Linked DNA regions of Astyanax mexicanus. The protein of the gene in region 1 binds, or shares a complex with, the protein of each later gene. Links are inferred from orthologs where the notes say so. Each region holds a gene or a part of one and is shown on either strand. Other genes may lie near its edges. The genes, in order: ctnnd1 and cdh26.1.

The links.
Region 2: ctnnd1 (region 1) and cdh26.1 share a complex: the UniProt entries of both Homo sapiens proteins name them as parts of the cadherin:catenin adhesion complex. The link is inferred for Astyanax mexicanus from reciprocal best matches to the Homo sapiens genes CTNND1 and CDH26.

The regions. Positions count from the first base shown.
Region 1 is NC_064414.1:44,245,649-44,261,270, reverse strand, and holds the start of ctnnd1 (catenin delta-1), read right to left. Parts: upstream 6,026-15,622; 5' UTR 5,665-6,025; intron 3,315-5,664; exon of another isoform or gene 3,290-3,314; intron 1-3,289. UniProt on the Homo sapiens protein: Key regulator of cell-cell adhesion that associates with and regulates the cell adhesion properties of both C-, E- and N-cadherins, being critical for their surface stability.
Region 2 is NC_064420.1:51,240,555-51,256,350, forward strand, and holds the start of cdh26.1 (cadherin-like protein 26), read right to left. Parts: upstream 7,324-15,796; 5' UTR 7,183-7,323; coding exon 7,150-7,182; intron 1-7,149. UniProt on the Homo sapiens protein: Cadherins are calcium-dependent cell adhesion proteins. They preferentially interact with themselves in a homophilic manner in connecting cells; cadherins may thus contribute to the sorting of heterogeneous cell types.

The DNA.
Region 1 (15,622 bases):
TGCACCGGTCTGCTGAGAACTACTTGCCAGTGGTCACAAAATCTAGCGGTCACAGAAAACAGTGCAACACACGGTTGTGGTGTATGGGAGCTTATCCATTTTTAGCGTTATAGATCTAAACAACGTGCTGTACATGTAAGTGATTATAAGTGTGGGGTTTGGTTTAGTAGGCTTGTGTTGTTGTTGTTGTTGTTATTATATATAAATATAGTAATTTATCGTTTGCTTTAAAACGTAAAATAATTATTTAAATATGTTTCTCAATGAATAGATTAGTCGACTAATCGAAAAAAATAATCGTTAGAATAATCGTTTAAAAAATAATCGTTAGGGACAGCCCTACTGTTAAGTAAATAGCACAATGTGTGTACATTCACAACATCACCAGATTATTTTCTTAAAGTTTTCCCTTCTTAAATGACTAAGTTTTTTTATTCACCACCCCTACTGAAACCAAAACTCAACACTAGTACATGATATTCTTCCAGTGATACTGCAAGTAAGAATCAAAAGCCCATTGATACTGCTCTGAGCACTCGAAAAAGCCTGACAAATGCCATCACTGTGACGTCGACAAAACAAATCTCAGTTATGACTGAGACCAGCACAGATACAGAAACAGCAGCATTAACACTAAGCCATATTAGGCCAAACTAATTCAATTTGCATGGGTGCTTAATCGTGTGTGTCTCTGCTAATGGGATAGCTGAGGTATTAGACTGTTAAGCCACTTAACATCCACAATCTACACACCTACTGCAAACACTCAGAGCAGATCTAGACGAAACCCAGATCATGCCTCAACGGTATGGCTGATGAAGTGATAAAGATGCCGCTTTCACCTATGACCATGTGCAAGACCCTGACAAAAAAAAAGGGCAAACAAGTGGCGCTTACTGCATACCACTGAACACAGATGTACCAGCCAGTCATCTGAGATGCTCATATATCACGAAGAGAGACTTTCTGAGACAACAGCTGTTAACTTCTAGGCTGAATTTGTGGATTAACGAGGAACAAAAATTAGGGGATTGAACATTAAGGTATTTAAACACGTGGTAAGAAGCTAACTTCTGTTCACTAAGACAGGCAGATGGAGAAAAGTTAGTAGACCATGCACTGCAAACAGTTTGCTAAACCAGACCAGACTTGAACAGAAAATCTTAAGATCTTAAGAAAAATAGTATTAGAGTAAACAGACCACGTAGTAATAAGAATTACAAATACAGAATGTGATTAAAAAATGCTGCAGCTATTGGATACAGCGCTCAAGAAAAAAAAAAGTCTCAAAGCAGTTTCTTTACAATACTACCTCCCACACTGCGCAAAGTAATAAGCAATATCAAAAAAATTTACCTGCATTTACTGAGTCCTATCACAGCGCATGGCATTTTGCAATTGTGCCCAAAAGATGTGTCGCAGTTATACCTTAAGCTGGCAGAACAAATTAACTCTGGTGTGCTAGTGGGATAATAATGACTTCCCACAATTCTTCATACACGCAGTGCATGTTCATGCCATTGGTATTGTAAAGCTGGACAATCCATGAGGGTCCCCCATGCTTGCTGACTCAGGTTAAAACTGAATGTGAAAAGCCGATCCCTCCGTTTTGGCCTGACTCCAAACTAACGCCTCTGTGAACTTTGAGACCACACATACTTCCAACCCTCCTACAAGCAAAACTAATGTCACACACATTCATACGAGTTGTTGAGTAACTTTGACATACCAGAAGTTGAGACATTTAGAGCTTCTGGGAGGTTTGTTAGTCAATCGAATGCATCCTTTGGTAAACAATATATAGTCCATAAATCTGGATTCTTTAATAAAGTGCTTTGACACTAATTGGACTGAAGCGGCTATGACAGAAAACGTTAGATTAATCATTAACATGATTAACAATTTTACTCTTTAATCCCTTCATGCATATCTTTCTGTAAAACCAACTTTCTCCTCATAAGTGCAAAACTCTGTTTAGTTTCTCATTAACTACTCCAACTATGACACAATTCAACAAAAATATAAAAACAGTTAAGTAAAATTTTGATTCTCTTAGTTTAATAAAACTGATGAGTTTACTTTACTTTTAATATATTTACATATGTCTTGTTTGTATTCTTAGTAGCTATTCTTATACCTAGTGGTGTAGGAAGAGACATTTAAATAAGAATTGCAGTGCTGGGAGGTTAATTAAATTATTGTTTTAACGTGACTTTTAAAATTAAAAAAAAAAAAACTTTTAAAAAATATTTATATGTAGAAGCTGCCAGAGGGAATTTCAGTAGATAGGCTTGTGCGTCTGTCAGAAACCAGTAAAGAACTTTTTTTTTAATGTAATTTTGATTTTGTGCACTTTTCCTTAACTGAAATACAAGGAGGTTATGTTGGCACTGTGTTTAATATTTAGGTTGAATGTAAATTTGACAGGGCTGCTTACTAAAGACCACTGCAGTCATGAATCATTCTCTAGTCCCCATATGTCCATATTTAGGGTTTCGTGTCTAAGCTGCATTTTCTATGGTCGAAATGGAATTCTAAATCACTATTTAACTTAGTTAAGGAATATCAAGATTTTTTTACAGTATTACCCAGCCCTACATTTTTTATAATAATAATTTGATTGTGGTGAGTAGTGTTGAATCTCTTAAATTAATGGGAATGTTTTAAGACTCTTAGCCCTTTAACATATCTTTACATTCTGAAAACTTCAAGGGCTTTGAAATCTCCTACAGGACACAGAGAATGTGTGAAATCAACCCAAAATCTATATGTTCGAAAACAGATCTAAAAACTAGACCAACTAAACTAAAGGTTTGGAAGACATGAACTGTTTGAATTGTACTCAGGAAGATATTGATTTTAAAATGAATTTCAGGAAAAATACAATTTTATAGTTGTATTAATTATATTTTGAAATTAGCAGATTTTCTTAAATATATGTTTTTTTATTTTATATTACAATTACGCTTCTCGGTAATGTTCCTTATCAAACATGAAAACTTTTTAAGTAGTGCTTAAATAGAAATCCTCAAGATTTAGTGGTGTAATGTCAGGCAGACAACTGACAAAAATTCAGGCCTGTTAAGAGGTTAAAATCTTCAGGGGCTCTGTAAGAAAGAATACACCATTTAATCCTAAAGTTTTGGAACAGATCTACCTTTTGTTTGGGAGCTGAAGGTGAAATTGGTTAGCCATTCAGCCATTAGCCTTTACCTGAGGCGCTAACGCGCCAGCCGATGACGCAGCCCTTTTTAAACGAAACTCCAAATTGAAAAAGCAACCGGTTTACCTGTAGGAGTTCCCTCAGGCTAAAACGGTGGTTTGTCCGATATCTTTGTGCTTTATTAGCTGTTTAAAAGCCATGTATTTTTACTGTACACGGTTTTTGTGAATCCACACAGTCTGTGGTGACTGCCGGGCAGAGACGTGTATTTTAAAACTACTCAACCCCCTTCCGTGTTTGACGGACACACCCTTGTAACAGTAAACCCGGTCATTACACCGTTTCAGAAAAAAAGAAATGGAGGAAACTACAGACTACGTCTTTCAAAAAGAGCACTCCATCTTATTCACAACATTTCTTCAGAACTAGCGTTTTTAAACTTAATTCAGAACAACTGAGGCGTGTGAAGGTGTTGTACAGTAGTGTTGGTTAGCTAGAAAAACATGGCGTGTACTAACATGCCCTTCCCTCTCTCAGCCACAGGTCAAGGTAGACACACCCGCAGGCCACTCAGAGGGGGGGAATCAAACATTTTTCCTTTTAAGTCGTGAAAACTGCATACACACACTCTCTCACACACAACCCATCTCCAGTGACTCATGCTAAATATATCAGCCAAGTCAGACGAACCGTAAAATCAGTGAGCTTGTAGCTAGTCACTGACCACTCACTCCACACGCTGACTGGCTGTTTTACACTGTATTGTGTGTAAATGCAAGAAAAGACGGTCTACAAAGAAAAAAAAACACACACACACACACACACACACTGAACCACGCCTGTCCCTTCCCCCACAAACACACACACACACCCATTCACCAGCACCTACTCAACAGGTTCTCACAAACTTCACACTCTCCCAACACTGTCCGTGCAAATTACACACAAAGTAATCTACATCACAATCACAGTTTTCACCTCATCACCAAAAAACAATGCAACTTTACTGATAATAAACAATAAACCAAGGCGTGTTTACTCCTCACTGAATCCCAAAAGAATCTAAAAGTAAAAAAAAAAAAAAAAAAAAAATCACAGGTAACATCTCCAACCAAGACAAGATCACATCTGCAACCCTTAACCTAGCAAACTACCTTGCTGAATAAGGACCTACAGGTAACTTATTCAGCACCAAAAAGGAGCTATATTTTGAAAGAAACAAACCAAATATTTTTTAACAGGTGCTCCCGAGTTGCAGTGATTTGAGACTTTTACTTGCAGATTCTGCAAGTAAAAAATCTGATATCATTACAGGTTAAAAAATATAGGCATCATATAAAGCTAGAAATTGTAGTAGCACTACTCCGCATTACAGATATCTCGTTTTCACTAGTACTAAAACTAGGTTAGAACTATATTACTGGGCTAGGTTACATCACTTGTATAATTTTATTAGGCTAAAACTACTTGTCATGGGTAACTACTACACTGCTGAGGATTCCCCTCATACAGTTACACGCCGGGTGATCAAGTGTTCATTTACAAGCCATACATAAAATGTCCCAGTATCAAAGCTGTGTGTTTAACATAGCTATTAGTAAGCTTTTGCTGGAAATGCAGAGTATGACTACTAATTTTTAGAGTATAGATACGCTAGAAGGAAATGTAGGCATTCATTATCTTGAAACACAATAATAGGTAAGTTCAATAAAAAGAGCACATTTAATCCTAAATAAACAGATAACTTATAACAGCCAAGCTAAATATTTAATACAAATTTAGGCAAAACACTAAAATAAAAAATAAACAGCTCGGTTTCTGGTTAGCAAGCTAAATAACTCCCTGTTTTCAGTAAATACAAGTTAACTACGTTCACGGCCACAATATTAACTACACGAATTATTGAAGAAAAACTTAATTAGTAAAATAAACTATCCAAATATGTTGTAAATAAAGGTTAGTTAAATGTAAGTCAATAAGTTAGCCTTAAGCTAGCTAGCTATTAACCGAGCTATAATAAGTTATCCCATAGGTTAGCTAGTTAACACTAACCAACAGTATGAGTCGAATGTATTTGTCTCGACAGGTCTAATAGCTACGCAAGTTTATAGCTAACGTGTAAAATCCACAATAATTCACTTTAAAATAAGTAACTACATTATCAACAAATCATATCGCTAGCTGTTAGCTTTAACTTTCAGCTTCATCTTCACACCTAGCTAGCGGCAAATGTGAGTCGTGGCTGTCCGTGAGACGCTATTGCTAGCGGTAGCTCGGCTAGATAACAAACCTGCTAGCGCTATGCTAACACCACTAGCATGCTAACCTGAGTGCTAAAGCGTTAGCACGCTAGCTAACTAGCTTAGCATAGCCAACTTCCAAGTTTTCCTAACTAACAAAAGCGAGCAGGGCTTTTGTGTAAACACGCGCGATTTGAGAAAAACACAACCGTTTCTATTAACATAACGACTGGAGAAAAATAAGCAGTTTCGAAAGTCTACCTTTGTGTTTTTTGTGCAAGTCCGATGGTGTGGTTGCGGTCTCGGCCTATCGAAACAGGCTCCAGATACTGTGATTTTTTTCCAAGCGCTGGGAAGTCACCGTAATCCCAAACTGGTCTAAATTTGGGCGTTTCAGCCCGTGCGCACTGCCACCAACGCGGATCTTCTCTGTTCGCCTTTCACTTTACGTTAACTCTATCGAACCCATTCAAACAGATGTAAAGAAGGTGGGAAATCCGTAGGCCGGAGTGGATTTATAAAAATCTGGCAGTCCTTTCATAAAAAAGCCCACCTAGCTATCTACCCGTCCTCCTCCTCCTCCTCGCCTTGTTCACTCCTCTTTCCTCGTTCCCCAGTTTCGCCCCTGACCCTCCTGCCCCTCCCCTGCGCAGCCGGAGCCGCGCGCATTACAGAGCAGGGCGGGGCGGGGCTGGGCGGGGAGTTCAGCGCCCGCTGGAGAACCGCACTCACTGTTCCTGCTCCTTCCGGGATTTAAAACATGTTATAAACCTTACAAACACCCGCGTTTTATTCGTTTAAACGATATTTTTGTGTTTTTCGCGTCTGATAAACACATAAGGCGGGGCGGGAAACAGTTCGTCACACCCCCAGTGTGGTTTTCATCACGTGGACAGCGGTTTTGGACACAAATCCCATGAAAAGCATAGGCGCTTCAGACCTGAACAAACAGTGCGAGAGCGCCACCTCACGATCAATAACAGGAGGCGCAGACTGTCAGTGTTTATTTCCACGTTAATTTTTAACCTCCCTCTGGCCATTAAAAGTATGCACACTGTGCTTTTAACAACTATATGTATACTGCATTATATTAAAAAATGAACATTAAATGCCAGGTATAACAACCAAACTTACTAAGGCATGGGAACGAGATAACTCATTCCCACAGTTTAGTGATCTAATTTCCACAACAAGTCGTGGCCATGCATTATTTTATTTATTTTTACATGATACCATCTTAGAGGCCTTGATACAGTTAAATTACCTCTGTTCTAATGGTACAAAAACCAGGTTTAAGCACTTCAACTTTATGGTTAAATGGTGGGGCCAATCTACTATTAGTGACATAAGTAGATGTATTTATATTAAATTACCTATATCAGTGAATTCCAACATCTTTTTTTCAGTTAGTTTCTGCATGTGGACTGAATTGTCCACTGTCCACAACAAAAATAGTTTAGGTGTGCTGATCGGGTAAAGACAGGAATCATTTTAATGCATAAACTCATATTTATACATTTAACATTGCTATCTTTCAAATACCTTGCCAGATGTTCTCAATTCTAGAATATATTAAATAAAAGGGAAAAAAACACTTAATATAAAAAATATATAAAAAAATGTATGTATTTATAATTTATGTATTTTTTTATTTAATTGTTTATTTTTGGTTTTATGAAGCTCCTTCTTCCTTTTTTCATTCTTCTTCTTCTTGTGAGTAGTAGTAGTAGTAGTAGTATTTGTCAATCATGCTTACTGTGTATTTATGCATTATTGTTTGCACATTTTTGTAAAAGAAAAAAACATGCTGTTTAAAAGCATGTTGTAAACAAGCCAGCCTCCCTGTGTGTGTGTGTGTCTGTGCATTGCATGAGATTGTATCTGTCTGAGTACTGAAATAACTCTGTGTGATCTCAGAGCAAACTTCATGTGACTGTCAGAAGCTGTGTGTGTGAGTGCGTGTGTGTGACCCCTGCCAGGAAACGTAGTTCCTCTTTTACTCAACTATTACCTAGTTTTTTTTTTCAACATCAAAGCCGCTCTTAGTTATTCAGTTTACTGCATTACCACTGATATGTTGCAATGAGGATCCATTATTAGGAATAAATCTTATTGTGTGAATAATTAATACTTCCCAAAGACCTCCGGACTGCATATATGGGAAGCTACTGAGCTGTAGTGCTGACTACAGCCTACTGAGCACAGCATGAAGAAACTTTAAACTGGTAAAGAACTTTTATATTAAATTGTTTTACATAAAGATTCTTTAGACACTTTAAAGTTTTATTTTTGCATACATACACCTTTATCACAAGCAGGGTTTATTAAGGGACCATAAAAGATTATTCTATGTCATTGCTCAAAAAAACACTCTTTTTGAAGAGTGTAGTTATAGGCAGCAGTTCAAAAAATCCAAAAAATAATTTTTTTTTCTCACGAAAAACAGATGCACAGTGATGCAGAGTAAAACCAGAAGCATATACATTTCAACAGCTAATTGCATAAAAAACAGCATTGGACAGGTTTAACAGATTTGGTCAATATGTTTTTGTACATTAAAAGTGCAGAAAATCACTGCTTTTTGTTTAATATGGTTTTGTGATGCACAACTTTATAATGACTGATTATTTTTTTCTTCCATTTTCTTCTTATTTTTCTGAAAGACATTTCCTAGAGATATTGACGCTGTCCCAACTCCAGATTGTTAAGTCTGAGGGACTGCAAAGACCATCTTGAGTACTTACATTACCTTCTGGTTTGAGAGACCGTAGAGTGGATAGTGAGGACAGCTGAGAAGATCATTGGTGTCTCATCGGCATCTACAGCACAAGCTGCATTCGCAAAGCCACCAGCATTTTGGATGACCACACCCATTCCTCACACAGACTCTTTTCACTGCTGCCATCTGGCAGAAGATACCGGAGCACCTGAGCCATCACTGCCAGACCCTACAACAGCTTCATACCCCTTGTAATGGAAAAATGTGTTGGGTTATTTACTGTATTTTATTCTGTTGTTCAATGTTTTTTTATTTCTTTACTTGTTTATGTGTGCTGTACTTGTTCTTGGGTAAAAAGAAAAAAAAAACAATAAATAGATATTTACAAAGAAAGTCCATTTATCTCAGCAATGAGTGTTTTTACCGGAAAAAAGCACCACATATGATTTAAACAGATGTAAATAAACATACATACAGTAAAATGTAACAAGAAATTCTAATTTTTAGCTAAGTATGGTATGTCCTGTGAGCCAAGCTGAAGAACAAAGTGTAGTTCCAGATTTCTCCTGGATGTTCCTCAGTTAGCAAGTGTATATGTTCAGTTCCGTCAGCAGCTCACCTAATTTACCAAACCTGTGGTTGATATGATGAGAACCAGAAATAACTATTAAACTCAAATGAGGAGAGATTAGGAAATGTTTTAAGGACAACAGGGCTTTAAAAGCTCTGCTTTTTGTAAAATTGCTGTTTGTATTTATTGTAATGCTTTAGTGAGATATTGAACACTTACTTCACAGATAAGCTTTCCTTTACTGATATTCCCAAACTTTTGCACAATACTGTATATATTGTTATAAGTTAAAATGTGGGATATTTAAATCTGATTGACTTATTGCAATGTAACATTTATTTTACTTCTTTATTGATAGCTTTATTTATTTTTATTTTAGTGCTTATAACACTCATGCTTATTTACTATTTGGTGTGCTACCAGCAAATATTTTTGGTTTGTGTTACAGAAGTGAGGGGATGGACGTAAGTGCAGAATTTAATTAATTTTATTAAATTAATAAAAACTAAAACAAATTAACAAACAAACAAAATAAACCAAAGTTACACTGAATACATAACTACAAAACACTAAACTTGAAAACAGGAATCTAAGAAACAGCATGAAACAAACCTGAACACGGACAGCAAACAAACCAACAAAAGACTAGACAAAGAAGGCTTGAAACAAAGGGGCTTATATACATGAGGAGGGAACAAGAAACTGGAAACACCTGAGGATCAATCAAGAGGGGGCGGGGTTACAAATAACTAATGACAGGGTGGGGCTAGGGCGGAGACAGGACCAAAACACAACAGAAGCACATGGCTGGGAAACATGACAGGTAAACAGAGGGGCAGGAGCACAAGAGACCAAATGAGGGAGAAACACAAGGCAGACATGGGCTAAGCTGTGACATAACTCCCCCTCAACGACACCACTACCAGAGGCGCAGAGAGAGGGAACAGAGAACAAGACGACAGAACTAGGACGAAGGAACTCATGACAAAACAGGAGACTGGACTATGAATGGTAACAAAGACTGGACAGGGGGCTGAGACTGGACAGGGGACAAGGACTGGACAGGGGGCTGAGACTGGACAGGGGACAAGGACTGGACAAAAGACTGGACAGGGGGCTGAGACTGGACAGGGGACAAGGACTGGACAAAAGACTGGACAGGGGGCTGAGACTGGACAGGGGACAAGGACTGGACAAAAGACTGGACAGGGGGCTGAGACTGGACAGGGGACAAGGACTGGACAAAAGACTGGACAGGGGGCTGAGACTGGACAGGGGACAAGGACTGGACAAAAGACTGGACAGGGGGCTGAGACTGGACAGGGGACAAGGACTGGACAAAAGACTGGACAGGGGGCTGAGACTGGACAGGGGACAAGGACTGGACAAAAGACTGGACAGGGGGCTGAGACTGGACAGGGGACAAGGACTGGACAAAAGACTGGACAGGGGGCTGAGACTGGACAGGGGACAAGGACTGGACAAAAGACTGGACAGGGGGCTGAGACTGGACAGGGGGCTGAGACTGGACAGGGGGCTGAGACTGGACAGGGGACAAGGACTGGACAGGGGGCTGAGACTGGACAGGGGACAAGGACTGGACAAAAGACTGGACAGGGGGCTGAGACTGGACAGGGGACAAGGACTGGACAAAAGACTGGACAGGGGGCTGAGACTGGACAGGGGACAAGGACTGGACAAAAGACTGGACAGGGGACAAGGACTGGACAGGGGGCTGAGACTGGACAGGGGACAAGGACTGGACAGGGGGCTGAGACTGGACAGGGGGCTGAGACTGGACAGGGGGCTGAGACTGGACAGGGGACAAGGACTGGACAGGGGACAAGGACTGGACAGGGGGCTGAGACTGGACAGGGGACAAGGACTGGACAGGGGGCTGAGACTGGACAGGGGACAAGGACTGGACAGGGGGCTGAGACTGGACAGGGGACAAGGACTGGACAGGGGCTGAGACTGGACAGGGGGCTGAGACTGGACAGGGGACAAGGACTGGACAGGGGACAAGGACTGGACAGGGGGCTGAGACTGGACAGGGGACAAGGACTGGACAAAGGACTGGACAGGGGGCTGAGACTGGACAGGGGACAAGGACTGGACAGGGGCTGAGACTGGACAGGGGACAAGGACTGGACAGGGGACAAGGACTGGACAGGGGGCTGAGACTGGACAGGGGACAAGGACTGGACAAAAGACTGGACAGGGGGCTGAGACTGGACAGGGGACAAGGACTGGACAAAAGACTGGACAGGGGGCTGAGACTGGACAGGGGACAAGGACTGGACAAAAGACTGGACAGGGGGCTGAGACTGGACAGGGGACAAGGACTGGACAAAAGACTGGACAGGGGGCTGAGACTGGACAGGGGACAAGGACTGGACAAAAGACTGGACAGGGGGCTGAGACTGGACAGGGGACAAGGACTGGACAAAAGACTGGACAGGGGGCTGAGACTGGACAGGGGACAAGGACTGGACAAAAGACTGGACAGGGGGCTGAGACTGGACAGGGGACAAGGACTGGACAAAAGACTGGACAGGGGGCTGAGACTGGACAGGGGACAAGGACTGGACAAAAGACTGGACAGGGGGCTGAGACTGGACAGGGGACAAGGACTGGACAAAAGACTGGACAGGGGGCTGAGACTGGACAGGGGACAAGGACTGGACAAAAGACTGGACAGGGGGCTGAGACTGGACAGGGGACAAGGACTGGACAAAAGACTGGACAGGGGGCTGAGACTGGACAGGGGACAAGGACTAGACAAAAGACTGGACAGGGGGCTGAGACTGGACAGGGGACATGGACAGGACAAAGGGCTGAGACTGGACAGAGGAGTGGACACTAGACTGGACAGGGGGCTGGACACTACACAGGGAACTGGGACTGGACAAGGGGTTGAAACAGACTGGACAGTGGCCGGGAACTGGGACTGGACAAGACTGGGCAGGGGAACTGGGACAAACACACTTACTGGGACTGACACGAATATGGTGATAGGGACGGGAATAGAAAAACCACTGGGGACAGGAATGGGAACAAACACAGACACGGGGACCAGGACAGGGAGAGACATGGGTACAAACACACACATAGACTGGAGCCCAGGACTGGTGAAGTTCAAAGTCTGCGGAACCAGCCTGGGCAGAGTTCGAGGGGTTGAAGCAGGAGATCTTGGAGCAGGTCTGGAAGCACACGACCTGGGGGTGTGCTTAGTTCTGGGAGCAGGCACAAGGGCGGCCGGAGCCGCGGGCACAGGGTCAGAGGCGGCCGGAGCCGCGGGCACAGGGTCAGAGGCGGCCGGAGCCGCGGGCACAGGGTCAGAGGCGGCCGGAGCCGCGGGCACAGGGTCAGAGGCAGTGGGTACCACATGGGCGGCAGTCACTGCAGTCACAGGAGCAGGAGCGGCGGGCACCGCTGGCACTGGAGCTGAAGCAGTGGGTACCACGTGGGTGGCAGGCACTGCAGAAACAGGAGCAGGAGCGGCGGGCACCGCTGGCACTGGAGCTGAAGCAGTGGGTACCACGTGGGTGGCAGGCACTGCAGAAACAGGAGCGGCGGGCACCGCTGGCACTGGAGCTGAAGCAGTGGGTACCACGTGGGTGGCAGGCACTGCAGACACAGGAGCAGGAGCGGAGGCTGTAGCAGCGGGAGCTGCTGGTGCTGGAGCTGGAGCTGAGGCTGTAGCAGCGGGAGCTGCTGGTGCTGGAGCTGAGGCTGTAGCAGCAGGAGCTGCTGGTGCTGGAGCTGAGGCTGTAGCAGCGGGTGCAGCTTGGGCAGGCGCGGCGGGTGCAGCTTGGGCAGGCGCGGCGGGTGCAGCTTGGGCAGGCGCGGCGGGTGCAGCTTGGGCAGGCGCGGCGGGTGCAGCTTGGGCAGGCGCGGCGGGTGCAGCTTGGGCAGGCGCGGCGGGTGCAGCTTGGGCAGGCGCGGCGGGTGCAGCTTGGGCAGGCGCGGCGGGTGCAGCTTGGGCAGCGCTGAAGCAGAGGCGGCGGGTGCTGCTGGAGCTGGGGAGGATGGACCACGCACTTGGGAAGCCTGGAACAGGTATTCATCCAGTTCAAGCAGTCTTTCGAAGGTACTCCTCCCCCAAACTCTGCCCACCTCTGCGAAGATATTCTGCTACGTCCATATTTTTGGGTCTAGTCTTATGTTACAGAAGTGAGGGGATGGACAGAATATAATTAATTTTATTAAATTAATAAAAACTAAAACAAATTAACAAACAAACAAAATAAACCAAAGTTACACTGAATACATAACTACAAAACACTAAACTTGAAAACAAGAATCTAAGAAACAGCATGAAACAAACCTGAACACAGACAGCAAACAAAGCAACAAAAGACTAGACAAAGAAGGCTTGAAACAAAGGGGCTTATATACATGAGGAGGGAACAAGAAACTGGAAACACCTGAGGATCAATCAAGAGGGGGCGGGGTTACAAATCACTAATGACAGGGTGGGGCTAGGGCGGAGACAGGACCAAAACACAACAGAAGCACATGGCTGGGAAACATGACAGGTAAACAGAGGGGCAGGAGCACAAGAGACCAAATGAGGGAGAAACACAAGGCAGACATGGGCTAAGCTGTGACAGTTTGTTTGATAGAGATTGATTAATGTGCTATTTTCATGTAAATTGCAATTACTTTGTAACCAATAAACATTAAAAAATACATGTATATGTTGTTTGTATGTTTATCCTATTGACTGTACTGTGGTCTTGCAGTGTATAAGGGACATCTAAATAATAACCATGTAAATAATAACCATCAGTCTCTTCAACTTTTCTTTGTTTGGCCGGAAGAGAAAGGAGAGCAGCTGATGTTAGATCAGAGGTTAATCTTTTATCTGCACTATTGACACTTTACTGTATACTCTGCACTTCTGGACACTTGACAATTTACTAAAAAGCTATATATTATCTATCTACATGTTCCTTGTCAGAATTTTATAATCAACCAATGCCTATTAGGTAGTGTTAAAGGTTGTTTTAACACTTTCAGACCTGAATTATGTTTCAGTGATGGAAAAATATAAGTGGTGTTTTCTGTCTGTAATAATCAGAGATTGTAAAAAAAGATGGACGCCGTGTCGCCGTTCCCATTCATTCAATGAAAATGAAGCCAAAATCTTCCGCCATGTTGGCGATCCTGACACCCGATTCTGCGCAGTAGAGTCCAGAGGAGGGAGAAAGGCTGTGGAGAGACAGCCTACTCATTTAAATAAACCCTCCCCTGAGGGCTGCCTCCCGGTCACAGACTGCAGAGCGGGGCGGAGCGGAGCTGATGGTCTGTTATTGGTCCCGCCCATAACCAGCCGTTTTACAATAACCACACCTTTTTTGAATAGAGCTGAATAACATTTTAAAAAACGAATTCTGTGGGGATATAAAAATTTGACAATATAAGCAGATGTTACACTAGCTGTTGCATTTAAATAAAGGAGGTAGAATTACAGTATATTAGAAAAAAACGTGATTGAAAGTCTGTTTTGCCATTGAAACCTATGGGGATGGGTGGGGTTACACAGCTTTCTGAAACCGAACAGCAGGGGGCGCCCGACCTGTGGTGGCTTCACTTTTGAGAGACGATGCTCTGTCCAGCTATATACAGTCTACGGTAATAATGCACACAAAATAGTATAAAATCTATATTAAAACAAATCAAATTGACCAAAACTTTGTATTCCTAAACATGATAAAACATGATCTAAATCACTTATTTTGTCCTGAAGTGCTGACATGCCCTAATGTCTGAGTTGCTGATTATTTTTCTCCCAGTGCAGTGGGCGGGGCTAAGCTACTGTTTCATTGGCTGGTTTATGATCTATTCTGATGGACAACAGGTTTCAATTAGCGTTCTGTGCAACAAAGCAATTGAAAAAAGAAAGTGCATGGTATCCATTGTAATTGATAAAGAGTCTGAAAGGGTTAAGCTAGTTTGTCCATCATCAACCTTAAAAGATTTAAAGCAACCAAAAATGAAAGTTTATTCAATGTTCTTTGGAAGAAGTCTATTGGGAATTAAAGAAAGAGTGGATTCCTTATTCATTTTGTCCAATAGAAAGAAAGATAGCCTTTATATATACCTAAAGCCGATGTAAACTAAAACAATGTAAACCAGCTTCAGACACACAAAAGAATAAGCAGCTGTCGTGAACGTGCGCGCGCGCCCTCCTCCTGCGCGTGCATGTCTGCAGCGGGAGCGCGCTTCATTCAGGTTCTTCAGCGGCTGGATCGCCGGGCAGTAAATCAGAGATGCGCACTGTAAGTGTTTGATCTGCGTTCTGCATTATCACTGAGAGATGAACTCGTTATAAACGCTGTACAGACCGGCAGCAGGGCATGGCAATAGTGATGGTGATGATAGTGATAGTGATCAGCCTGAAGCAGCCTGAAATCCACCACACTGTCCTGTAGTATAGCTCTATTTAACTCACACTACAGAGACCAGTGAGGCTGGGGTTATTAAATTGGTGGGATTTCCGAGCTGCAGTGGAATATAACGCGATGAGCCACGCTGTCGTGTACTTCATATCCCCTATCAGAGGGGGAGTGGAGCACGCTGATAGTGTCGTGTTGCCTTTTACGTTGTATTCATCGATGAGGAAGCCTGTTGGGCAGAGAGATTACAGAAGGCAGACGTGGTAATCTGGATTAGGGCTCACCAGGGAGAGCATGTGTCCAGGCTGACTGTCCACAGCCCTGAATAAAGTCCCACATATTACATCTTTTTGGACATTTGTAATCTGTAATAATATGATGAGGGGCTGGGATTTTGCTTCACTGGAAGTTTAGATCATGCAGTATATCTAAGATAGACTACTCACACTGTCCACAGTGGTAGAATCTCTTTATTATTAGCTTTATCAGAAAGTTTGTGGTCCACATTGCTGGTGGACAGTTAGA
Region 2 (15,796 bases), on another chromosome or scaffold:
AGGAAACTTATTGTAGAAGAGCTAGATAACTAGATTCAATACTCTGTGAGAGAACAGAGCAAACTGAGGGGTATTTGACAGACCAGGTGCAAACAATCAGTAACTGGGGGAGCGAGAACGCCATAGCGTCACATGATCAGCAGAGTCTGGGAAGTCTGGTGTGAGTGCATGCTGGGAAGTGGAGTTTTGTTGTGTAGTTCAGAGTCCAGAGCAGACAGACTAACAGCATCAGGACTGACAATGTGTGTGGGTGTTTATTTATTATTTTAAGTTAAACTGTTTATCACAAATTTAATCTCTCCTGAATCTACAATGAACCAGTTTTTAAACAGGTACACAGCAAAAAGGCAAGTGTTAAATTAACTCCCACAGAGTTAATTTTAACTCTTTTTCAGGGAGTTAAATCAACACTTTCAAAATAGTTAAACATTTAACACCTTGCCAGAGTTCCTTTTTAACTCACATTTGTATTTCTTTAACTTCCTAAATTGTTACACTAACACTGAAAAGAGTTAAAAAAATGATAAATGAGAAGAAGATTAGTATATTAATATGACTTTTTATTATTGAATTATTATTCAGGACAGGTTAGCGTGTAATTTTCCATTGTATTTCTTAGTGCATTACCAACACTTTATCACAATTTACTGTACAAACGATGGTAACTTGCTCTTATAGCCTACAACATATTAGCTAGACAAACAACCATTAAACAAAATATAACACAATACCCAATGGAAGGAGCCCTGGTGGGCAAGATTTCACACTGATGGTAAGTTAAGATCTGGGGGACACACCCATTATGCAAATAACGTGTTTAACTGGGCGGAGTTTAATTAAATCTCTGTGGAGTTGGCCAGTATTTATTGGGTTTAGTGGGATTAACACTGAAATATTCAACTCTGACAAATAACTCCAACACTGAACACCATTTAACACTGAAAGAGTTAAAATTACACTCTCAGCTGTTTAACTCTGAAATTTCAACTCTCCTGTTTTTGCTGTGTATTTTTCTTATCTGTAACTATTAGTTGTGATCGTCAGTAGTGTGTGTAATGTGTGTGTAATGTGTGTGTATATGTGCAGCAGCTTCTAAAGCTCTATCTGAAATAAACCTGAGCTTCTATGCAAAACTAAAGGAAACTGTAGTCAAATTCATACTGGCTACTCCAAACCCTCATCATCAAAACACCAACATCACACAAATCACCACATTTAACCATCTATAACCACGTATTATACACTTACACCAGCGTACACACTACAGCTGCAGCATATCACTATTTTAGTATTCGACTAAATAATCAGACAATTATATTTACGATTAATCACTAATAAAGAAAGTAATCAATTAATTACAGCTGCAGGTTATTTTTATTACAGATTTGGGTTAATGTAGTGTAGTTAGGAGTCCAGCCCAAGGACTCTTATTGGTGTAGAGCAGCATTCAGTCACCCAGACCGGGAATTGAACCCCAGTCCCCCACATGATGTTATCGCTCACTGTTGTGGTGCAGTGGATAACACCACTGCCTGCCAATCACTACAACCACTGTTTTTACCTTCACAGCTAAACTTTAATGGTTCTAAATAGATTCTGTAGAACATTTTAATAGTTATATATAAAATAGTATATAAAATTACAAAGTGTATAATAAGAATCATTCACACAGGCTGGATATTGTTATTTTTTAGGACATTTTATTACACTTAATTAACTGAAATTGTGTTATTTAGTATATTGCAATATATTTTCCAATATATTGCCATATATTATTGTTTGTAAAGGATATTAGTTACAAAGAACTACAAAGTCTGTCAAAATTATTCCTAAATATACCAAATTGTTCAAAATATATCTAAATATTCCCAAATATACTAAATTATTCCTAAATATATAAAATTATTAATATATCTAATTATTCCCAATAATACATGCCGTTTATTGTGAAGTATGAGACCTAATACAGCCATTATTAATCATTTCCACATAACCGACCACTAATAAAGCACCAATAACACTTAATAACACAGAATAAAGCCTAATAAGTAGTGAATAAATAATTTACAAATGTCTAATTAAGGCTTTATTAAGCAAATAATAAGACATTAATAAGTGCCTGATTTGTGTTCCTTAAAATAAAGTGTTACCATATTTATTTATTTATTACTTTTTTATTACTGTAATAATTTTACTGTTTTTCAAATTATAGTCAGTGAATGTCTATTTTCTGGTCTGTTTTCATAAATAAGGCGCATAGGATTATAAAGCGATATTAAGCGGCATTAGTAAGGATTCTAAATTGAAGTGAACAAGGGTGTCGCCATGTTTCTCTTCTAATGGGGAAGCTGGGGGAAGCGCCTAAGTAAACAAAACTGTAATTCTTTAAAATATATATATATATATATATATATATATATATATATATATATATATATATATATATATATATATATATATTTCCTATATTTAAGTTAATTGAGTGCTGGATGTTAATCTACACAGATTTCTCTCCTGGGTGAGTAAACCACCGTTTATTTACAGTAAGCTTAGATTTCTAATGTTTTATATATAAGGGTGAGTTTCAGTGAAGTTTCTCCAGCACTAAGGCTAGGAGCAGCAGCATTAGCATTACATGAGTGTTTCGTAAGCCAGGGTGATATTAGCTGGCGGTTTGTTTGTTTTAACATGGTAAACATGCAAACTACAGTCTGATAGATTCACCTCTGAATGGTGAAAGAGCTAGTGCTTAGCGCTGTGGTTAGCGGCTAATGCTAACGTTGCTCGATCCTTGGTGCTGGAGAACTAAACTGAAACTCCTGTGTAACTCTGTACTTCAGTGGAGTGTCTTTACTGCTCTTTAATACCTGACTGATAGAATTCATACATACATCAACATTTTTATTTATAGTACTTTAGTTTATTTTATTAATATTATTCACTTATTTTATGATTAATATTTTGCTTTGTACTGCGCTCCTGTATTGCATCTGTAATCAGATACCTTCTCCTCTCTCAGTCCGAGTTGCCAGGTTTGAGGATTTCATGCCAAAAAAAAAACATTGTCATGGGTGTAAATTTGAAAGGTCACAGGGTTCATTTTACTTTTCTTTTCACAATTATTTTACCTTCCATATAACCATATAAATGTTCAAATTCAAAGTTATATAGTTGTTACTCTTAATTAATGTTATATCAGGATTTTAATATTAAAATATTTAGTAAAGTGACCTGTAGTATCGCAGTAAGAACAAAATGTGAATCAACTGCTGAGATAATGAGCCCGAGGCTGAATTAAACCCCACATTTTTTTAAGTAAGTAAAGCGCTAAAACTGAGCTTTTAAAATCATTTTTAGGTGAACAGAATGATGTAAATTAACATTGCAACACTGAAGAAGCGTAGACCTGTTATTATTTCATAAAAATGTTTATTAAGAACAGATCTCTTAAAAAGATTAAAACACAAACTATGCAAACAATAATCCACGGGCCTAAACATCAGTAAATTAGAATTAAACTACCGGAGTGATGTCTGAATAAATTTAATCCAATATATTTTTACATGGTTTAAGAATCTAAAATACCTTCTAAACAAACTAACTTTTTTATATTAAGCTTTATAAAGCCTTAAAGTGCAAAAACACAAAAAAACAGCAAAATATCTTTACACTGCACAATCATTAACTCTAAGCTAATATAATTTAACAAGGTTTAAAAATATAAAATACTTTCTACACAAGCAAATGTTTTATTTTAAGCATATATCCTAAGTGTGAAAACACACTGCGCAGAGAGAGCTGTGTGATTTTCTTAACTTCTGCAACTTTTATTTAAAACACAGTTTGATTTGTTACTTTACTATATTGTGATTATTACACCATAGTTTTATATAAACTAAAAATAGCATTAAAACAGACGGCCTACATCACAGATTATTTTCTCGACCCGAGAAAGGTGGTGGGATTAACGGTCAGGCATTAAATTGGGCTCGCCCTAGTGAAATAAAAGTAGGTTAAAATATACTAAGCATTATTATGCTATGGTGAACTAAAGTGTTCGTGTAGACACATAATTTTTAATCAGTATATTTAAAGAGTGCTAAAATGAAACAGCTTTTTTAGTACATATTATAATTTAATTACAGTATAAAAATAAAACAAAAGTCTTACTTAAATTGTGCTAAGTGTACTTAACTGTACTAAAATGGAACTACAGTATTTTACATATAGTTAAGTAATATTTAAACTACGTCATGTATGTAACCCATACCTGTCAAGTTTTAGATTTAAAAATAAGGGATATTTTCCTCTGTCCGCTTAAAGTCGTCCCACCAGCCCAACGAAGGTTCAGTATCCCTTACATTTTAAAACAGGTTTACAAAAAATCTAAAATAAACACATGTGAACCACTTACACACAACAATTAGATAATCAGAATCTGAACATGTTGTGGACATTCCTACATATGTCATTCTTTTAATACAGCCAAATTAAAAACCCTTTTCTATATATTTTTTTTTTATTTAAGATTTCATGTCTTTTTTGTAATAAATGCACTCTTTTATATGATATATGTTTTATTTATTTAATGGATTTAAAATGGATTTAAAACATTCTGCAAAATGACTGTTGGTGACCTAAAAATGGTATTATGAGCTTTTACTAAAAGGACATGGACCAGATATATTCCATCAGTAAAAATTAGTCCTAAGGGGCCTACACAATTAATAATTTTTAATTAATACTTCTTCCTTTTGATCACTCCACCCCTGATCAGTTCAGTTAATGTCGGTTCTCTCCACATTTCTAGTTAAACTGAGTCACAAGCTGTAATTTTTTTTATTTTAAAAGGTTTAATCTGTGTGTTTTATTTCGGAGTATTTTTAAGCAGCTATCAGAAAAATCTCATCACAGTTTCCATGATTAGACTACCGTTACCTTTCTTTTAGAAAAATCGCTGCATGTATGTTTTAACATCAGCTGCTCCAACTAGCTGCCTGAACTCACAGCGAGGAGGGCGGGGCTTCCCCACACTGACCCTCCTTGCAAGCTGATTGGCTGTTTCTCCTGAAAGGCGGGACTTTCTCCTTGAACCGGCTCCACGATTGGTTAAGAGACACAGAGCGGTCAGTGCCCTGTCTCCTTAATAATATATATATTTTTATTGTAATATAATACGGGAAATTTACGGGAAAATACTAATACGGGAGGACGGCGGGAAAGAGGAGTAAAATACGGTAGTTTCCCGGCCAAAACGGGAGACTTGACAGGTATGATGTAACCCCATATTTTAAATATGCTTACAGTAAAATTATAATACATTTAATTATTAGAGTATTACAACTGTATCACTCTTTATTATAAACCAGGTATATTAGATTAGACATGTACTAAGAATTAATGTTAAATACATGTGATATATTTACATTAGAGTACAAATATACATGCTTCTTGTTTCTGTCTTTTGTAAGAATCACACTTCTAGTATACTTCATTTTGTATAAAAATATATTTTAATATACTGTACTACAATTTTTAGCGTCTTACAAATTACACTGTATCCTCTAGTTATACTTATACTTATATTTTTCTAATTATAATTACAGATCATTGAAATACACTTTAACTGTTATATTAATTAAATATCTAAATATATATTTTTTAAAATGTACCAATGTAGTAATTTAATTTACTTTCTAAAAACTTACATGACACATTGTACTTTAAGTGAACTACTGTAACAGTTGTTACATTTGATGAAAGCATAATATTAATGTACTTTTAATATATTTAACAAAGTACATAAATATGTTAGTATATTTACAGCATACTTAGACATTTCTAAACATGTTTTAACTACAATTAAGTATATATATATTTTTTTAAACCAGGGCAGAGTATCAGTGTTCAGTAATGGGTCTGGGATCTAATGGGTTAAATATATTTAACGTGTATGTGTATTCGTTAGGTAAAAATATATTTTAATATACTGTATTACAATTTTTAGCATGTTACAAATTTACTTTACTTTATTTAACACTGTATCCTATAATTTATTGTACTTGTCTTTTCCTAATTATATTTACAGAGCATTCAAATACACTTTAACTGTTATATTAATGTAATACCTAAATATATATATTTTATAATTTATCAATGTAGTAATTTAACTTACTTTCTAAAAAGTTACATGATACATTATATTTTAAGTAACCTGCTGTAACAGTTGTTACATTTGAAAATATTAATGTACTTTTAATATATTTTTTCGTAAAGTACATAAACCTGTTAGTATATTTACAGCATACTTAGACATTTCTTAATATGTTTTAAGTACAATTAAGTATATAGTATCAGTGTTCAGTAATGGGTCTAGACTCTAATTGGTTAAATATATTTAAAGTGTATGTGTGCAGGCCTGCAGTGTGCAGGTATTACTGATATTATCTGTCATTTATCTGTTATTCTGCTCTTTGATGTGTCATCCTGGTGTCTGTTTTTCTGATTAGATCTAACAGATTCTCTGAGGATGAATCATTATCAGTCAGTGGAACGGCTGCAGGTTTATACACCTGCCCAGGAGGCAGGATTATACAAAATATATAAAATACAGTATATACCCAGTTATTTATACTGTATATCATCACAAAATAACTAAATAAAACCCCAATAAATTAATCTAAATGCAGTTTTATTGGAGAGAAGCAGTAATAATAGTAGTATTATTTATGACAAATTATTTTTTTGAAAGTGTTAAATTTTAAAAAGAAGCAAAATGATCTGAAAATAGAATAAGGCACTTTTAGTAGTAAGTAAATAAACAGTAAGCTTATCATTAATAATATATAATAAGTCTTATATAATAATATCTATGAGAAATGTGATATTTAAACTACAGCTAAGTGAATTTAAGAAAATCAGAATCAGTTTTTGCTGTGTGGAGCTTCTTACAGTCTGATATATTTACTCTGTATTTAACAGGATTTTACTCGCTCTAATGTTTTATTTAGCGCTGTGGTTAAGAGCTGATCCTTCAGACATTGGACATATATTATAAATATATTGTAAATATATGATAAATATATTGTAAATATATCACAAATAAATTGTAAATATATCTTAAATATATTGTAAATATATTGTACTCACTGTCAGAAGGAGGAAAATGAAGGTAATCCTCATCCTGAAGATCCGAGAGACTCAATAATCCACAACCTTCAGCTGAACCAGATCTTTAAAGATCAATTCCAACCTCTGCTCTCTCGACCTCTTTCTGTTTCTCTCTCTCTCTCTCTCTCTCTCTCTCTCTCTCTATCGCTGTCTCTCTCCCTCACTCTCTTTCTCCCCCTCGCTCTCTCACTCTATCTCTCTCTCTCTCTCTCTTTCTGTTGGTAATGTAAATGTGAGAGTGGAGAACACCTGAGGGGACAGGTGTGGGAGTGGCCTGTTTGACATGCTCTACTGGAGAAAAGAGAAATACTCCTCTTCTATCGTTCTTCTCCTCCACCCCCTTCTCTTCCTCCTCCTCCTCCTCTTCTCCTCTTCTCTTTAATTAAGGGTCAGGTTTCAGGTGAGCAGGAACAGGACGGTCAGGTGAGGTACGGCAGAAATACTGAACGTTAATTCTGCTTCTGAAGATTTTCACCAGGTTCACTATTACACACACAGTATGTAAATATATGGTACCAGGAGCCAATGGAGAATGGTGTATTTTTCACACTGGATTTTAAGACACATTATGCAACACTAGTAAGGAACATGGGTTCCGCTAGACCTGTAAAACCTGTAAAAAACTGTAGTTCTGAAAAAAGGTAAACAAGTGAATTAAGTAAAGTTTACTAAAAGAAAGGATTGATTCAATAAAAATAAATGAAGTAAAGTTTACTAAAAGAAAGGATTGATTCAGTAAAAATAAATGAAGTAAAGTTTACTAAAAGAAAGGATTGATTCAGTAAAAATAAATGAAGTAAAGTTTACTAAAAGAAAGGATTGATTCAGTAAAATAAATGAAGTAAAGTTTAATAAAAGAAAGGATTGATTCAGTAAAATAAATGAAGTTAAGTTTACTAAAAGAAAGGATTGAATCAGTAAAAATAAATGAGTAAAGTTTACTAAAAGAAAGGATTGATTAGTAAAAATAAATGAAGTTTACTAAAAGAAAGGATTGATTCAGTAAAAATAAATGAAGTAAAGTTTACTAAAAGAAAGGATTGATTAGTAAAAATAAATGAAGTTTACTAAAAGAAAGGATTGAATCAGTAAAAATAAATGAAGTAAAGTTTACTAAAAGAAAGGATTGACTGAAGTTCAGTTCTCTTATTTACTCTGTGTAACTCTATTTAAGTCTTGAAACCGAGTTGAAGTTACTTAAATTTATCTGAAATTAAATTTACTTAAAAAAAGCAAATGCAGAAAGTTGTGAAAAATTTTTTTAAGTAAATTTTACTCATGGTTTTTTCAGTGTTCTGGCTGGAGGTTGAAGGTGTGGAGAGTATGGAGAGTACAATGTTTCTGTATCTGTGATTGTGCAGAAAGTCCTGCGACAAAAACATACCAACATACAACATAAATATATGTCCTGTGGCTCATTGTAAAATGTGTAAAGAAGAGATTACTAAGGACCCCCAGTGAGGAAGTATGTGATTGGATAAGAAAGTGATAGCACCTGTGAAGGAAGTGTGATCAGGCTTAAGGGGAAGTGGACCTGTGTTCTTCACCACATCACCAACGTTCACCAGTGACCAGGTGTGAGCGTCCTCCATACAGCTCTGAAGAACAGAGCAGGAGGCGGCACCACTTTAATATAAGACCACCTTTATAAAGGGTTTATAAAGGGTTTATAAATGGTTTATAAATGGTTTGTAAATTAGATTATTACTTATTATTGATTAGGTTGTAAATGCCTTAAAAACCATTGATAATCAGTTAAAACACATCAATTAAAAAAGCAACAGTGGCAACTTACTCATTTAATTTATAGTAAATAGTAAAACATACATATAAATATATTAATATTACAGGTTTAATGCTGATTGATGGAAAACACAAAGTAAAATCAGTATCTAGGATAGGGGTGTCCAAACTTTTTTTGTTGGGGGCCAGAAGGAGAAATATATTTGAAGTCACGGACCACAGACTCTGTAATAAAACAAATAATGAAATATACCACTTTAAATAATACTTTTTCCTGATTATTTCATTTACACACCATTTTACTTGATTTACTATCTTTATCTTTGACAGTGTTGTGTAAACTAAGATTTTTCAAATTGATGTTTCATTTCATGATGTCTCTTAATATTTAACTCCTTAATTACGGCAACTTTTAGACTCTTTGCCCTGTTTTTCTGCGCAAGAAATGCGCACTCTCTCCGCTTTTAGACTCTTTGGCCCGTTTTTCTGCGCAAGAAATGCGCACTCTCTCCGCTTTTAGATTCCTTGGCCCGTTTTTCTGCGCAAGAAATGTGCACTCTTTCCGCTTTTAGACTCTTTTGCCCCAATTTTCTGCGCTAGAAATGCGCACTCTCTCCGCTTTTAGACTCTTTTGCCCCAATTTTCTGCGCTAGAAATGCGCACTCTCTCCGCTTTTAGACTCTTTGGCCCGTTTTTTTTGCGCTAGAAATGCGCACTCTCTCCGCTTTTAGACTCTTTGGCCCGTTTTTCTGCGCTAGAAATGCGCACTCTCTCCACTTTTAGACTCTTTGGCCCGTTTTTCTGCGCTAGAAATGCGCACTCTCTCCGCTTTTAGACTCTTTGGCCTGTTTTTCTGCGCTAGAAATGCGCACTCTCTCCGCTTTTAGATTCTTTGGCCCGTTTTTCTGCGCTAGAAATGCGCACTCTCTCCACTTTTAGACTCTTTGGCCTGTTTTTCTGCGCTAGAAATGCGCACTCTCTCCACTTTTAGACTCTTTGGCCCGTTTTTCTGCGCTAGAAATGCGCACTCTCTCCGCTTTTAGACTCTTTGGCCTGTTTTTCTGCGCTAGAAATGCGCACTCTCTCCACTTTTAGACTCTTTGGCCCGTTTTTCTGCGCTAGAAATGCGCACTCTCTCCGCTTTTAGATTCTTTGGCCCGTTTTTCTGCGCTAGAAATGCGCACCCTCTCCGCTTTTAGACTCTTTGGCCCGTTTCTGACACCTAGCGTTCAAACTTTGAATCTCACATTATAAAACCTGCTTAACAGCGGGACAACTTTCATTCTATTTCTAAAATACCTCGTGGGCCGCTCCAAAAAAGGAAACGGGCCACAAATGTCCCGCGGGCCGTAGTTTGGACACCCCTGATCTAGAAGGATATGATTTTTAACAGTATAAATGAGAGTGGAATCATTATTTTGCTATTTTATTATAATTTTCAGCTCACTGTTGCCATTTCTATTTATGTGTTTATATATTAATTAACTGCTTATCAATGGGTTTTAAAGGATTTGCAACCTACTTAATAACCATTACTAAACTTGTTTATAAACCCTTCATAAACCCTTTATAAAGGTAGTCTTGTTTTAAAGTGTTTCCCATGATGTGTAAAATAGCTAGCTAAAGAGCTAACGCTAGCCATGTTAAGATAGCTAGTTAAGATAACATAGCTAGCATTAGCTATTTAGCTAGCTATCTGAACGTAGCTAGCATTATTCACTTCTAAGAACTAACGCTAAGAGCTAATGCTAGCTAAAGAGCTAATGCTAGCCATGTTAAGATAGCTAGTTAAGATAACATAGCTAGCATTAGCTATTTAGCTAGCTATCTTAACATAGCTAGCATTATTTACTTATAAGAGCTAACGTTAAGAGCCAATGCTAGCTAAAGAGCTAACCCTAGCCATGTTAAGATAGCTAGCCAACGCTAGCCAGCTAGCTAACGCTAACTGGAGAAGAGAAGCTAAATAGCCGGCCTTCTTACTTCCAAACTGAACTGCTTATCAACCAAACAGCGCCTGGATGGTTTAATATCCACTTAAATCATCTACATATTAACCAACCAAATTAAAAAAAAAACAACCATAAATATATTATAATTTAGTGTGTAAACATTTTAGATGAGAAATTGCCCCCTCAAATAAATTCCATCATATTACGCCAGTGTGTCTTTGCTATCGTAACGACGGGAAAAGTATACCTTGCGTGCCTTGAAAAGCAAAGCAAAAGTCATGTCACTAATTCTCTTAATTAATGATGGGTGTGGTTAATTAATTTTGGGCGTAATGTGAAAGAATAAACCAATCAGAGTGTCTCTTGTTCATCATTCTCTTTAAGAGTAGATCAGGTGAGCTCTGACTTTGGCGGATTGCTATTGTAACGGTGCAGCTACCTGGATGTGTCCAACAAACTCTTCTCAGCAGAGGAAACTGAGCTGCTGGTTGATGCTGTGAAGGAGCTCCAGCAGCTCATTTACGGGAACAGCAATGTTATTTTATTTACTATTCTGTTTATTGTTGATGTAAAAGTTAGATTTGTGCACTGCTGCGTGTTGCCAAGATAGCGATGAACGTCTGACTGTTGGCGTCTGTCTAGGTTGTATTCAGTCAGTGGAGCTCCTGTGTTTTCTGTTACCAAGATAAACAAGCAAAACTCCTGTTTAAAGCTCTGTTACTATTTAAACCAGGCAGGAGGAAGATAAGAGTGATGATAGAGTGAAAGTGAGAGTGAAAGAAAGTAGTGATTTCTTCTGCTTTGTATAAAAACTCTTCCCCTGTTCTCTGTTTCTACAGTAGTGAATATCGGTGGTGATTGAGGTTAATCACTGTAATAACATTAATCTCAGTAGTGCTTCATCAGCAGCTCCTCTCTCATCACTCTGATCTTTACATTATTCCTGAGATCATCTCAAAGAAAACATCAGACCATCAGTCCGAGTAAAAAAACTGAACTGACAGTTCACACAGATCACAGTTCTGATCACAGATCTGCTGTAAAACAGGTGAAGACAGATCTTTATTCCTCTAAAATCAACATAAAATAACATATATATCTCCTACCGGGTAAATCCATCAGCTCCTCCCTCTGTTATAATAAAGCTCTGCTCTGGGCGGGGCAGAATGACGGAGGGGTTTATTCTGAGTGGTTCAGTGTTTTTACTTTATTTTATAATGTTCTGTATTGTAGATTAATACTAAACTCATCCAAACCATACCAGAATATGTTTTATTATATTTTAGATTCTATAAAGTATCTCCTCTTGTTTAGATGATCAGTTTTGAACATCTCTGCTGGATTTTCTCAGTCAGCTTTATGAGGTAGAGTCTCCTGGAATTCAGGCTTTCAGTTAACAGCTGTGCTGAACTCATCAAGAGTTAATTACTTGAATTTCTTGTCTCTTAATAAAGTGTTTGAGAGCATCAGTTAAAGTAAAGTAGTGAAGAGGTAGAGTTACAGGTATACAGTGAATAGTGAATATTTGAGTAATGTTCGAATCCAGGTTATGAGAAGAAACAACTAGATAGATAGATCATAACAGGGTACAAGAAATACTCACAAGAAATGCACACACAAAATAAACAAAAGAAATACACACACGAAATATACACACAAAATACACAGACAGAATACACAGACAAAATATACACACGAAATATACACACACGAAATACGTAGACAAAATATACACATGAAATACATAGACAAAATATACACACGAAATATACACACAAAATACACAGACAGAATACACAGACAAAATATACACAAGATATACACACACGAAATACGTAGACAAAATATACACACGAAATACATAGATAAAATATACACACGAAATATACACACACAAAATATACACAGACAAAATACATACAAGAAATATACACATGAAATACACACAAGAAACGGATGGTAAAAAATACAATATACAAGTATCCAAAGAGAAAAGGCTCAGTATTATTGCATATATATTTACTCAACTAAATAAAGAAAAAATACTTTAAGAATAGAAATGAAGGTCAGTCAATCTGGAAAAAAAAAGAATTTCAAGATCTTTGAAAAGGTTTCCTCAAGTGCAGAAGCCACAAAGACCATCAAAAACATTATTGTATGGTATTGATGATGTTGATGATGATGATGATGATGATGTTGATTATTTACTATGTATTTTCATATTGTGTTTTATTTATTTATTTTTTTTTTATGCAATGTAAAGCGTCTTTGAGTATCCTGAAAAGCGCTATAAAAATAAAATGTATTATTATTATTATTATTATTATTATAAAGATGAAACTGGCACTCATCAGGACCGTCACAGGATTGGAAAGAAAGAGCGAGAGTTTCCTCTGTTGTACAGGATACGTTATTCAGAGTTACCTGCCACAGAAACTGATATATTTGATGAGTATTTTGGTTTGTTTAACACTGTTTTTAAGTTACTACATGATTCCTTATGTGTTCCATTACAGTCTGAAAGATCACTTTACTATTCATTTACTATGAATGAAATGTATTTTATATATATTGAATGTATTTTACTGATCTGGGGTGGGTTTCCCGAAAACGATCAATCTTAGCGAATAACGAACGAACTAACGAATGACGTGAGTAAAGAACGAGCCAGTTCTGCGAGTGTTTCCCAAAGAGCTTCGCAAAGCGGAAATTAACGAACGAGGTTTAAGAGCGTCTTTGTTGACTCCTCCCCCAAAACAGCGCACTCAATCGATCCACAAATATCGATTCAACACTGCCAATATGCAGTATTTATTCACTATTACACCCTAAAAACGTAGAAATGTGTTGTAATCATCAATATTATACATATTCTGAAATTTAAATTACAAAAGGATTTACTTTGGCATTAATAAAATACTCCTAAAGATACATATGACTAAATAAATAATAAAAAATCTAATATGTATATATATATATTAGGGGTGTCACGATCTCGATATTTTATCGAAATCGAATCGAAATGAGGTCATGGTCTCGAGTATCGAAGTCAAAAAGAGGATCGACGATCCCTCCCGCGCGCGCTACGCAAATAGCGCAGCGCGCTACGCAAATGGCGCGGCACCAACACAGCGCATCCTATTCATTTAAATAGAGATAGCCACTGCATGAGCGCAGCCCCGCCCTCAGTTCTGCTGTGTGAGAGACAGCTGCCTTTCAACCACGGAGGAGAAACTGAAAACGGATTTATAGAAATATAGACAGGGCTCTCAAGTTTTGAGTGTCGGCGGGAGTGTGATCACTGTTTTTTATCTGTCCAACGGGGGAGGGGGGGCGGGGGTTGGGCGCGCAGGTTTTGTATCTGTATCTAACGGAGGGGTGGGTGCGCGCAGGTGAGAGCGTGTGAACTCGCTGAAATGCGTGTGTCAGTGTGACTTGAGAACACTGACTATAGATCACAGTGAGGTGGATTAAAAATCTTAAACTTATAATTGACTACACCTGTTGCTTTCCATTGAATTAAAAAAACATCTTTCTCTCAGATAAAGTAAACACAAGCGTGTTTCTGACTAAAATAAAAGCTTTTCAGGAGAGATATAAGTTATGTGTAAATATTTATAAGACAATACCTGACAAAATCTGTTTTAATGACGTTAATAAACATCACTGTGACAGCGCTAACCACAGTTTCACCACATCACTTATCTAACCAGCCTGTACTGATTTCTGCCCCCCAATAACGCTTTCAATAACCTCTAATAGCCTTTAATAGTCTTCAGTAGCCTTTAAAAGACTTACCTGGCGGCCGTGGTGTGTCCACTAAACTCCGTAGTTATAAACATCCTGAGGTTAGCAGCGCGCTAACTGACCTGTTTATAATGTAATCCGAGCAGTGCCTCCGTGTCGGCTGTTCTAACCTGCTGCTGTTAGCTGCTTGGGCTGAAAGATGAACTGTAGTGAGCTGTATTATCCGGTTAGTGGGGTTAAAACCTTTATTTGTTTACAGAAACAGTAAAAACGGACTGGCTGAGCTCTGTAGCCCGTGGCTGGGCTGTACTGAAGTAGTGACTGAGTGAAGAGAGCGGGGCTTGTGCTGCTGCTGCTAGTGGTTGGATGAAGAACTGCAGCTTCATGTAATGAGCAGTTTCACCAGCCATCCACACACAGCTCTGATAAACTGCTTGTTTTAATAGTGCACACTGTTGCTACCAAAAAAAGTCACTAGATGGCATTACCATATATATCTTAATAAATAATAATAATAATATTTATAATATTTATAATAATAATAATAATAAATATATTATTTAAATTTTATGAGGCATAAAATAATAACAAGAAAAAAAAAACAAGAAAATCGAGAATCGAATCGAATCGTGACCCTCAAATCGAAAATGAAATCGAATCGAGGATTTAGAGAATCGTGACACCCCTAATATATATATATTATATTAATATATATTATACTAATATTATTAATAGTAATTTGGCGAGTAATATTAATTTATTATTATAATTATTAATAATAATATAAAAATATAATATATAAAAAATATAAAAATAATATAATAATACATATACGTATGTTATATATATTATACCAACATGAGTATGCTCATCCAAATCACCATCTCAGTTGGGTTTAGGTCAGGGGATTGTTAAGCCCACCTTTTTGTTTACTAGATAATTCCATATGCGTCAATTAATAGTTTTCATGGTTTTAATATTAATCCACAATGTAAAAAAAAAAAAAAAAAACATTGAATGAGACGTGTCCAACTTTTGACTGGTATTTATATATTTGCGAGCTGACACACCCCAGAGTTTGCCCAGATGAACGGCCACAATGTTGGTTAGAAGCACCTGATTAAGGAATAATATTAAATATTACCTGCACATTCACCGATACCCTTTACAATACGTGTAGGTGT